2 linked regions of the Caenorhabditis elegans genome follow. The protein of the gene in region 1 purifies or fractionates together with the protein of each later gene. This does not show direct contact. Each region holds a gene or a part of one and is shown on either strand. Other genes may lie near its edges.

What was found.
Region 2: the proteins of chil-10 (region 1) and acbp-6 fractionate together in Caenorhabditis elegans (co-fractionation; one large-scale study listed by BioGRID). This does not show direct contact.

The regions. Positions count from the first base shown.
Region 1 is NC_003284.9:956,131-961,101, reverse strand, and holds chil-10 (GH18 domain-containing protein), read right to left. Parts: upstream 3,222-4,971; 5' UTR 3,176-3,221; coding exon 2,975-3,175; intron 2,931-2,974; coding exon 2,634-2,930; intron 1,933-2,633; coding exon 1,760-1,932; intron 1,711-1,759; coding exon 1,644-1,710; intron 1,568-1,643; coding exon 1,511-1,567; intron 1,365-1,510; coding exon 1,255-1,364; intron 833-1,254; coding exon 622-832; 3' UTR 534-621; downstream 1-533. Other genes in the region: ncs-1 (Neuronal calcium sensor 1), read left to right, coding at 340-441; apm-3 (MHD domain-containing protein), read right to left, coding at 3,486-3,578, 4,139-4,384, 4,437-4,539, 4,591-4,664, 4,709-4,822.
Region 2 is NC_003280.10:11,971,806-11,975,608, forward strand, and holds acbp-6 (ACB domain-containing protein), read right to left. Parts: upstream 1,928-3,803; 5' UTR 1,862-1,927; coding exon 1,838-1,861; intron 933-1,837; coding exon 791-932; intron 738-790; coding exon 556-737; 3' UTR 508-555; downstream 1-507. Other genes in the region: mex-1 (C3H1-type domain-containing protein), read left to right, coding at 1-146.

The DNA.
Region 1 (4,971 bases):
TATATATCTAACATGGCCAAACATCGTAACAAAACACTTCAAATTGTTTTTTTGAGATTTTATCATTTTAAGCAAAGTATTAAGCTGCCAGATATTTTGAAAATTATTATTTAAACATTTCAAGACTTTCTGCACAGTTTAACGTTTACAATGTACAAATTTATACAGTTAAAACGCAACTAAAAATGTTTAAAATTTTGAAACTAAAAACTGAGTTTTTTTTCCATTTTTTTTAAATCTTACAATGTTGTTTGGTGATTTTAGTAACAAATTTGTGGTATCGACTAAATTCCACTTTCAAAATTTTTAGAGCATTAAATAATTTCCAAATTTTTCCAGAATAACGATGCTCAACTGACATTGGAAGAATTCAAAGAAGGAGCCAAAGCTGACCCCTCAATTGTGCATGCTCTTTCATTGTATGAGGGTCTCTCCTCTTGACGCATTTCAATATGTTTTCTTATATCAAAATTGCAAACACTATCATCAAGCGTTATGTCCCCTTTTTTCGTCAAAATGAAAGAATCTTTAGTATAATATTTGTCTTCTTATTTACATATCAAATTCCATAGATTAAAATGTTCAAATGAAATAGGCTGAAAAATGTGAAAAGTTGAAACATTAAATCAATAAATTAGTGAAATAGTCGAGTCCCTGTCCATAATCCCAAATGGCAATTCCGACATCGTAGCGGTGAGCCATATTGATGCGAAGTTCCAGCGAGGTGAGTGATGGGAAATAGGCGATGGAATTAGAGGTCTTTACTCTGTGCTCCATTGACTTTTCGTCAAACTCCAACTTGGATTTTTCAGATTTCAATAGTGTCAAGTATCTGAAAGATAATTAATTTGTCGTAATTTAATTAACTATTGATTTGTCAATATATAAAATTAAGAAATGATTTAAGAACTTTGGCAATATTTTATGTCAAACGTTTGGCTTTACCGAATTTTGGACAATCCAGTTTCTGTATTACAGTTGTTTTTTTTTAAATATTTTCCGGATTCCACAATTTTTACAATAACTTTACAAAGGTGGCCTTGTTCAGAATCTGGAAGATTTGGAACGTGAAAAAAAAAGTTAGAAAATTGAACTAAAAAAAAAGAACGTCCGGTTTGCCATCCCAATTCCCAGTGAACAATTGTTAAACTTGCAAATCTCTTCCACATTGTTCTATTTTCTTTTCTATGTAGCTCAACAGTATAATAAGACTTTCCATTTTCGCACAACTCTTTTTTCTTTCTTAATTCTCACCTATCCGCAGTGATTGCTTCCACATTGCCTTTGGAGAACTCATAGCCGTAGAAATTGAGTCCCGCCAGTGTTTTGTGGCCACCTCCCAAGTAGAAGATACAGCTCTCAAACTGAAATGAGATAATTTTTTTTAGAATTCCACGGAAACTAATGTGTTTCTCTCTTAGTTTTTTTCAAAAGTTTGCTGGAATCTTGCTGAATTCTTAAAGAACCCCAAGAAATTGGATTTTAGTGAATAAAATTTTTGAAAACTAACCCAGTCGTATGGAGCCACACCAGCTGGTTTGTTTCCCCGGTAATCGTAGGTCATTATCTGAAAAATTGACAATCTCACAGAAGTTTCTTACAGTGTTGTTTTCAACTACACAACTTAAATTCCTCCCACTTACCTGAACAAAATCGGAAACAGCTGTGATCTTCTTAAAGTCATCCGGAGTCACGAGATTGTTGGGTTGGCTGAAAATATGTTAATTTTTCCCAAGTTTCTTATCACCAATATTTCTACTTATTCCATTCCAGGGGCGCAGGAACTGTTAGAATCACTTGCATATGCAACTTTTTCATTTGCCTCGACAAGTCTTGTATACTTTCGATGATAAACTCCTTTACTTCTAGAGACTGCACAGAGATCAATGCTTGCATGTAGAGCTCCACGACAGCGCCTTCAAACTGGTTTCTCTGGAAAAATGATGGTGATTTTTATGTTTGTGTTTCTGACGGGGATAGTCTAGACGGTATTTTTATGTCGTTGAGTCAAGTTCAAGCCCTTTATCCCGATGGGTCCACTTGTCCATAACTGAGAAGTGGAGCAATCCACGACTGGATTACCGGCCGCAGTCCAAGTTTCAAGCGAGGCTTAACATTAGCCCAGTGGAAGCTTCAGCTACAGACCCTTCAGCTTGAATGACAGACAATCATTTACCGTATATTCTCTATTAGTGCGGCATCTCTACTGCCCTTTCGAAAATTAGTGCGGCAGTCTCCAGTAGTCCGGCAGTCTCTAATAGTGCGGCACCCCTTCTTTTTGGTTGCGAAAGCCACCTCAAATATTCGGATTCTACAATGGTATCCTTGTTCATTCTTCAATAATTTCTCATAAATTTTCACGTAAACATTGCATTTCAGAGTCTTTGGTGGCAAAATACACAATTTTCATTACTTTTCACATAAAATATGAGCTTTTATGAGGGAATTTTGAGGTTACTACTCTCGAAAGTAGTAACCTCAAAGTGAAAATTAGTTATCGAAAATTAGTACGGCAGTCTCCAGTAGTCCGGCAGTCTCTAATAGTGCGCAAGTCGTGGAAGGCTCGGAAATTAGTGCGGCATGCCGCACTAATAGAGAATATACGGTAATTCTTTATTTCAAATGGAACTAACGCTGTAAAAATTGGCGATATCCTCGAAACAATGTCTTGCAACTTTTGCATCCATCAACAAGTTCTTCATCTCCTGAGCACTCCAACCATCAAACAGAATTCGAGGCACAATCGCGATGTTTTCGTTTTTTTCACGGAGCTTTTCAATCCAATCTCGGTTAATTTCATGTGTTCCTTCAATCTTGCAGCCATCCAATTTCCCGTTTTCACTGAATGCCTTGGCTTGAAACCAAACCGGAGAGACGTGAGTCAGCTTGTGAGCTGTTTTCTCCGCCAACTCGTAGCCATGCCGGTTCCACTGAAACACAATACAGTTATTTTGTTATGTAAAATTTCAATAACCGGTGTAATATACGCCAGCTGAGTGAGCCCTTCTCGGTTGTCCGGAATGTGGAACTGATCGTTGAGTTGCTCGTGCTCTCTTATAATCGACGCTTTGGAAATTGATTCTGGCTTGAATTTCAGTGTTTCGATAAGCTCTTTTCCAGTGGCTTGAGCACTGACTCCAGATATCAATATCCACGTGGCAAGTATAATAATCATTTTTTGTTAACTTTGCTATGATACCCGATACGTTTTATCCTGAAAGCTACGGCACAATTTAGACTTAAACATTAAAAAAAAAAAATTAAAAAAAGTAAATAAACCTGGCATTCAAAACCAAACAACAAAAACGTGCAATTATAGAAATATCGATAAGATTTGCAAACAATAAAACAATTTTATTTTAAGAACAATCAATAAACTAAAAAGTCCTTAAAATAGAAGAGTAATGCCATTTTATAAATTAAGTAAACTGGTTGAAAGAGCAGTGTTGAGACCAAGATGAGATACAGAGAATGTTGATGGAAGACTAAGTGCGAATTGTGAATTTACCGGCTTTCGTTATATATTTCACACCCTTGAACGGCTTGTACTTTTCGCCGTACATATCCAAACGATTGACCTGGAAACAAATTGATGTCTGTGCGTTTCAGCATGCTTATTTTGAAGATAGTTTTGAAAATATGACTTTTTTTTAACTAAAATGTATGTATAGAAAAAAATTTTAAAGTCGGTTAGGTAACACCGCAACCAATAAGGTACAGGATTGTTGATCACTTGGAGAACGGTCGAACGGTCATATTATTCTACCCAAGTTTTTAAAAAACATAGACAATTTCTGAATTCTACTAATATACTTTTTGTGAGACTGGGCAAGAATGAAAGTTTCCAAATTTTAAAACTTTATCTCACTAAAATTCTATCTCACTTCTCCAAAAAGTCGGATAAACAGCCGCACAGCGCTGATAGACAAATATAATTTTAAAAAGAATTTACATTTCCTGGATGATTTTTCCGTATAATTCCTGGTCATTCAAATTGATATCTGACGATTTTTAGGACCACTACCAAGAGTTTTCCTAGTCATATTAAAAATTTGATTACTTGATTTGTTTTTTTATAAACTTGCATGTTTTTACTTTGCAAGTATAGGGGTATTCACTTCAAGCTGATAAAGCTAACCTTTAATCCGGACAGAACCAACTGGTTAATTTTGAATTTCAGTGAAATTGGTGGATTCTCTGCAACAGTAGTTCCGCTCACAGCAACTGATCCTTTGAGTGTTGATGGTTTTCCGACTTCAATTTTTCCAATGGTCCATTGCAATAGTTTAGTCGTCGGGTCGAACGCGATTCTTCCGTGACTCGCCACCAAATTGCAGTTTTGTACACATTTTGGCATTGTGATTTCAAGAACAACGTCTTCCAGCTTAACATCGTTTTTGTTAGAGGGATTGTGATTTAGATCTTCGAAAACTCACCACTTTACCCATGCTTAGCTTTGGTCCAACTGTGAGGTCAAGTTTTCCAGCATTTGGTTTCAAGGAGATCACTTGTCTAACGTAGATTGGAATGGCAACCATACTGAAATTAATTAAGTTATAGAAATTTTATCTGTAGAATGAAAATCATTACTTTTGTGCAGCAATATGATAGGACAACAGACGAAAGTTGCCATCTGGAGGAACAAATGAAAGAACCTTCTCGTTCTGAAAAAATTGTGATTAAGATATAAATGTTATGAGCGGTTTACCTCCCAGCGCTTGTATCTGACACATGGATGGAAGGATACATCATCTAGAAGTCTTGGGTTGATAAGGGTCATTGTGAGATCAGGCATTCCGGACAGTTTACAGCAAACGTCAACCTGAAATTTGTCAAGGATAAGATGAATATATTCTTAATATTTCCAAATATTTTTCAGAATTTTTACCTCCAGAACACATGCTAGTTCAAAACGTCAGCACCCAAATTTGGTGGTGTGAAGTATTATATTATTAAAATATTTTCATTTGG
Region 2 (3,803 bases), on another chromosome or scaffold:
CTTCCACCACGACCACCAGCACATCATCTCCAGTCCAAGAACAGCCGTGGTACGAGAAGATTTTCGGGAAAATGACAATGATCCAAGAGGAATCATCGATGGGCGGTGAAGACGACGATGCTCACGAAGATCATTATTCGAGATAATCTGGATTCCTCCGTCCACCCCCTACCTACCTACCTAAAAATCTGCCAAATTCTCACAAATTGTCCCAGTCCAAAATCTCTTACAACAAGAACAAAAAATCCCCTCCAAATTTTCATGTCATATCATAATTTTCCCCCCACACCACCAAAAAAATGTCCATATTTTGTATTTTTGTGTCCCACCCCCCGGCCAATCTGAGCCATATTTATTTTGATAATGATTGTAAAAAGTTATTTTGTGATCTCTACCGTTTCCCCCCAAACATTCCCCATTTCTCTATCTCTCTCTCTAGTCTATCTCACTCTCTCTATCGGTGTCTCGCCACGATACCCACCGACCCAGAACGCCAAGAACAAATATGAAGAGATTTGAATTTTTATTCAAAAACAAAAAAATACTCAAAATCAATCAATAATCCACAGACCAAACTTCACTGTTCCACTTGCAACGGACAATGTTCCGCCCGTATTTTTTGATCATTTCCTCGGCGATTGCCACGTAGTCCGCGCGGCATTTCTCCGAATTCGCGCCTTTCTGCGATTTCCAGGCGGCATATTTTTTCCTGCCGACCTCGTCACCGGCGGGAACTGCTGAAAAATATAGAATGTTAGATTTTGGATTATTTTCCATTCGAGACCCTTACGATACACATCCTCATTTGGAATGTCCCCATGGAGAGCCTGTTTGTACAATGCGTAGAGTTTCAGCCGCTCTCGATCGGTTGGCTCGGACTTGAGCCGACGCATCTCCTCGGCGGCAATTTCAAAAGTTAGCCCGGTCCATTTCTGAGGGAATTGGGAATTTGATTGTTATTATTGAATCCTCGAAAAATTCGGTGGAGCGCGCTTGCATCTTTTACTATTATGGGGCGTAAACGGCCGCGAATCATGGGTCTCGTTATTACGGGACCATGAGATCATGAGAATGCCTATTACTGGCGCGAAAATATTGGCAGGCCGCGGCAGCGAGAGAGCATATGGCGAAGAGAGACGCAGGTCCCTTCGCTACGAGATATTTGCCGCCAGAGAAGTAGGCATTCTCATGATCTCATGGTCCCGTAATAGGTATTTGGTGAAAAATTTCGAACGTTTTCGAGAATTTTGCAGCGTTCTCAAAAACTACGGAATATATAGGAAAAATGTTTGAATTTACGATTTTACCGCCAAATTTGGACGCCATACCTAAACAAGACCCATAATTCGGGGGCGGAGCGTTTCAAATTAGCCGCCGAGCGCGTTTTCACGTCGATTTCATTTTTCTGGATTTAACAAAATCAGTGTTCTGGGCTTCCTCAATGCATTTTTCGCGCTCCATTGACAATCGTCAACGCGTGGAAAAGTGTCGTGTACTCAACACGGACAAATACATTTATTTTTACAACTAAAACCGAGCCGCGACGCGACACGCAACGCGCCGTAAATCTACCCCAGATATGGCCGAGGCAAAATGGCCTAGTTCGGCCTAAAATCTTCCATTTCAATTTACGAGGGAATTCCCTCCCTAGGGAAGCCAGAAATCCGTGACTACGGAAAAAAAGTTCAAATTCACGATTTTACCGCCAAATACCTAACGAGACCCATGGTTCGAAGGCGGAGCGTTTTAAATTTGCCGTGGAGCGCGTTTTCACATTGGAATGAGCGTCTCATTGAAGCGAACTTGCTGACCAGACTGAAATTGAAAATTAGCTCACCTTTTCGAGCTCGGAAATCGGCATTTTTGGAGGCGATAGAATTATTGTTGGCTCCCGCGGAGCACACACGCTTTTATACCCCCTAATTGGCTAAAATATTCGCGAATTTTCGAGGGAAATTGCCTGAAATTTGAGTGGAGGCCCTATATGAGATGTGTGTTCGATGAATATGTAATTTGAGAAAAATAATTGTTTATTTTGTGAGAAATATAATTATTTAAATTCGTTAAATAAGTTTCATGAAAGTTTTTACAGTAGAAAAGCTAAAAAATCGATATATTATGGATTTTTGAAGGCATTCAACGGTGAAAAATTGAAATTTAGTGAGTTTTTGGAAAAAAATTTGGGTGAGAATTTGTATAATTTTTGAGTAAAATAAAAAGTGGGGGAAATTAATAATTTTTATCCGTTGGTGTGTCGTTGCAGTCGCGTAGGGGGTTCCTTGCCAGTTGTTTCTCTGAAATTTCAAAAAAATTATTTAGTTTTTGACTGGCAACGAGCTCGTACGCGTCAAAAAAATACGATGAGAACAAAAAAAAACAAGGAGAGGGGTATGCGCCTTTAAGATAAGGATACGGTAACGGGGGGGAGGTCACTGGTCTCGACACGACAGTTTACTGCGAAAAGGTGTGCGCCTTTAAAGAGTACTGTAGTTCTCAATTTCACGTGTTTAAAATCGTTTTTTCATAGTTTTACAAAAAAAACATTTGGAAATTCGTCAGCAATCTAATTTGTAAACTACAGTACTATTTAAAGGCGCACAACGTTTTTTTCCCATTAAACAAACATTTGTCGTTAACGTTTCGAGACCAAAAAGTCGCGAAATTTAGTACCTGAGTAATAATAAACTAGGAAAACCTTGACTAACTACCGTATCAGAATTTAAAGGTGCATGTTTCATAAAGAAGCGTCTAGATAATACATTTTTGAAGTTGAAAACCCCCTAATTTTTTAAAAATTTACAGTTTTTCCAAGTGATAGGTAATTTTGCATGACGTGATGATGATGATTCAGAAAATAAACCGCAAATGATAAGAAATTATCAATAAATGTTAGCAAAAGTGATTACGGTATTCCGAATACTAAAAAAACAAATTTTTTTCCTAAATTTTTTAATTTTCCCAAAACCATAGCCAAAGTTGTAATTATTTTTGAATTCCCGCTTCACCGAATAATTCAGACATTTTTCCGCAAACATTGCGATTTTTAGGTAAATTTTCGAATTTCAGCGAAATTTCTCATGGTTATCCAGGCTTTTTTTACGAGAAAATACCAGAAAGTTTGAAAAAATTGAAAAACTAAACAATTTTTGCGGGTAAAATCCGGGAAATCGAATTTTGAAAAATCTGAAAACGAAATCTTACCAAAAACAGAAATTATCCCAATTTCTTAGATCAAAAATCTAAAAAATCTGGCGAACTCGTGTGATCTCTTTATTATTTGAAACTCGCCGCGATTTTCAGATTCCAAATCTTCTCCCATTTCTATTAAATTTTGCTCCGACATTGCAACAAAAAACACACAAAAACAAGTATTCATATATATTTTTAATATTTTATTAAGCATTTTTTTCCAATATTTTTAATTTTAATGTTTTTTTGGGGGTTTTTTTCGTTTCGTCTAACTTGTTCTTCTCATTTGTTATATTATTTTACGAAGTGACCGTATCGTTTTACTATTTCATATGAAGTTTGGAGATGGTTTAGGGTGTGTGGATTGGTGGAAAATGGTGTGAAAATCAGAAAATATAGATTTTTCAAGTTTAAAATCAAATTTTGAAGCGAAAATTGCAAATTTTCCGTAGGAATTTCAAATTTTCCCACCACTTCCGGAGGAGTTATGTGAAAATTCGAAAAACAGCTGAAAATCTGAGAAAAATGTTGTATTAAAGTATATTTTATAGCGAAAATTTCGAATTTTCCCACCATTTTCACCTATCGACACGTCTAGAAAGGGGACTTTCAAA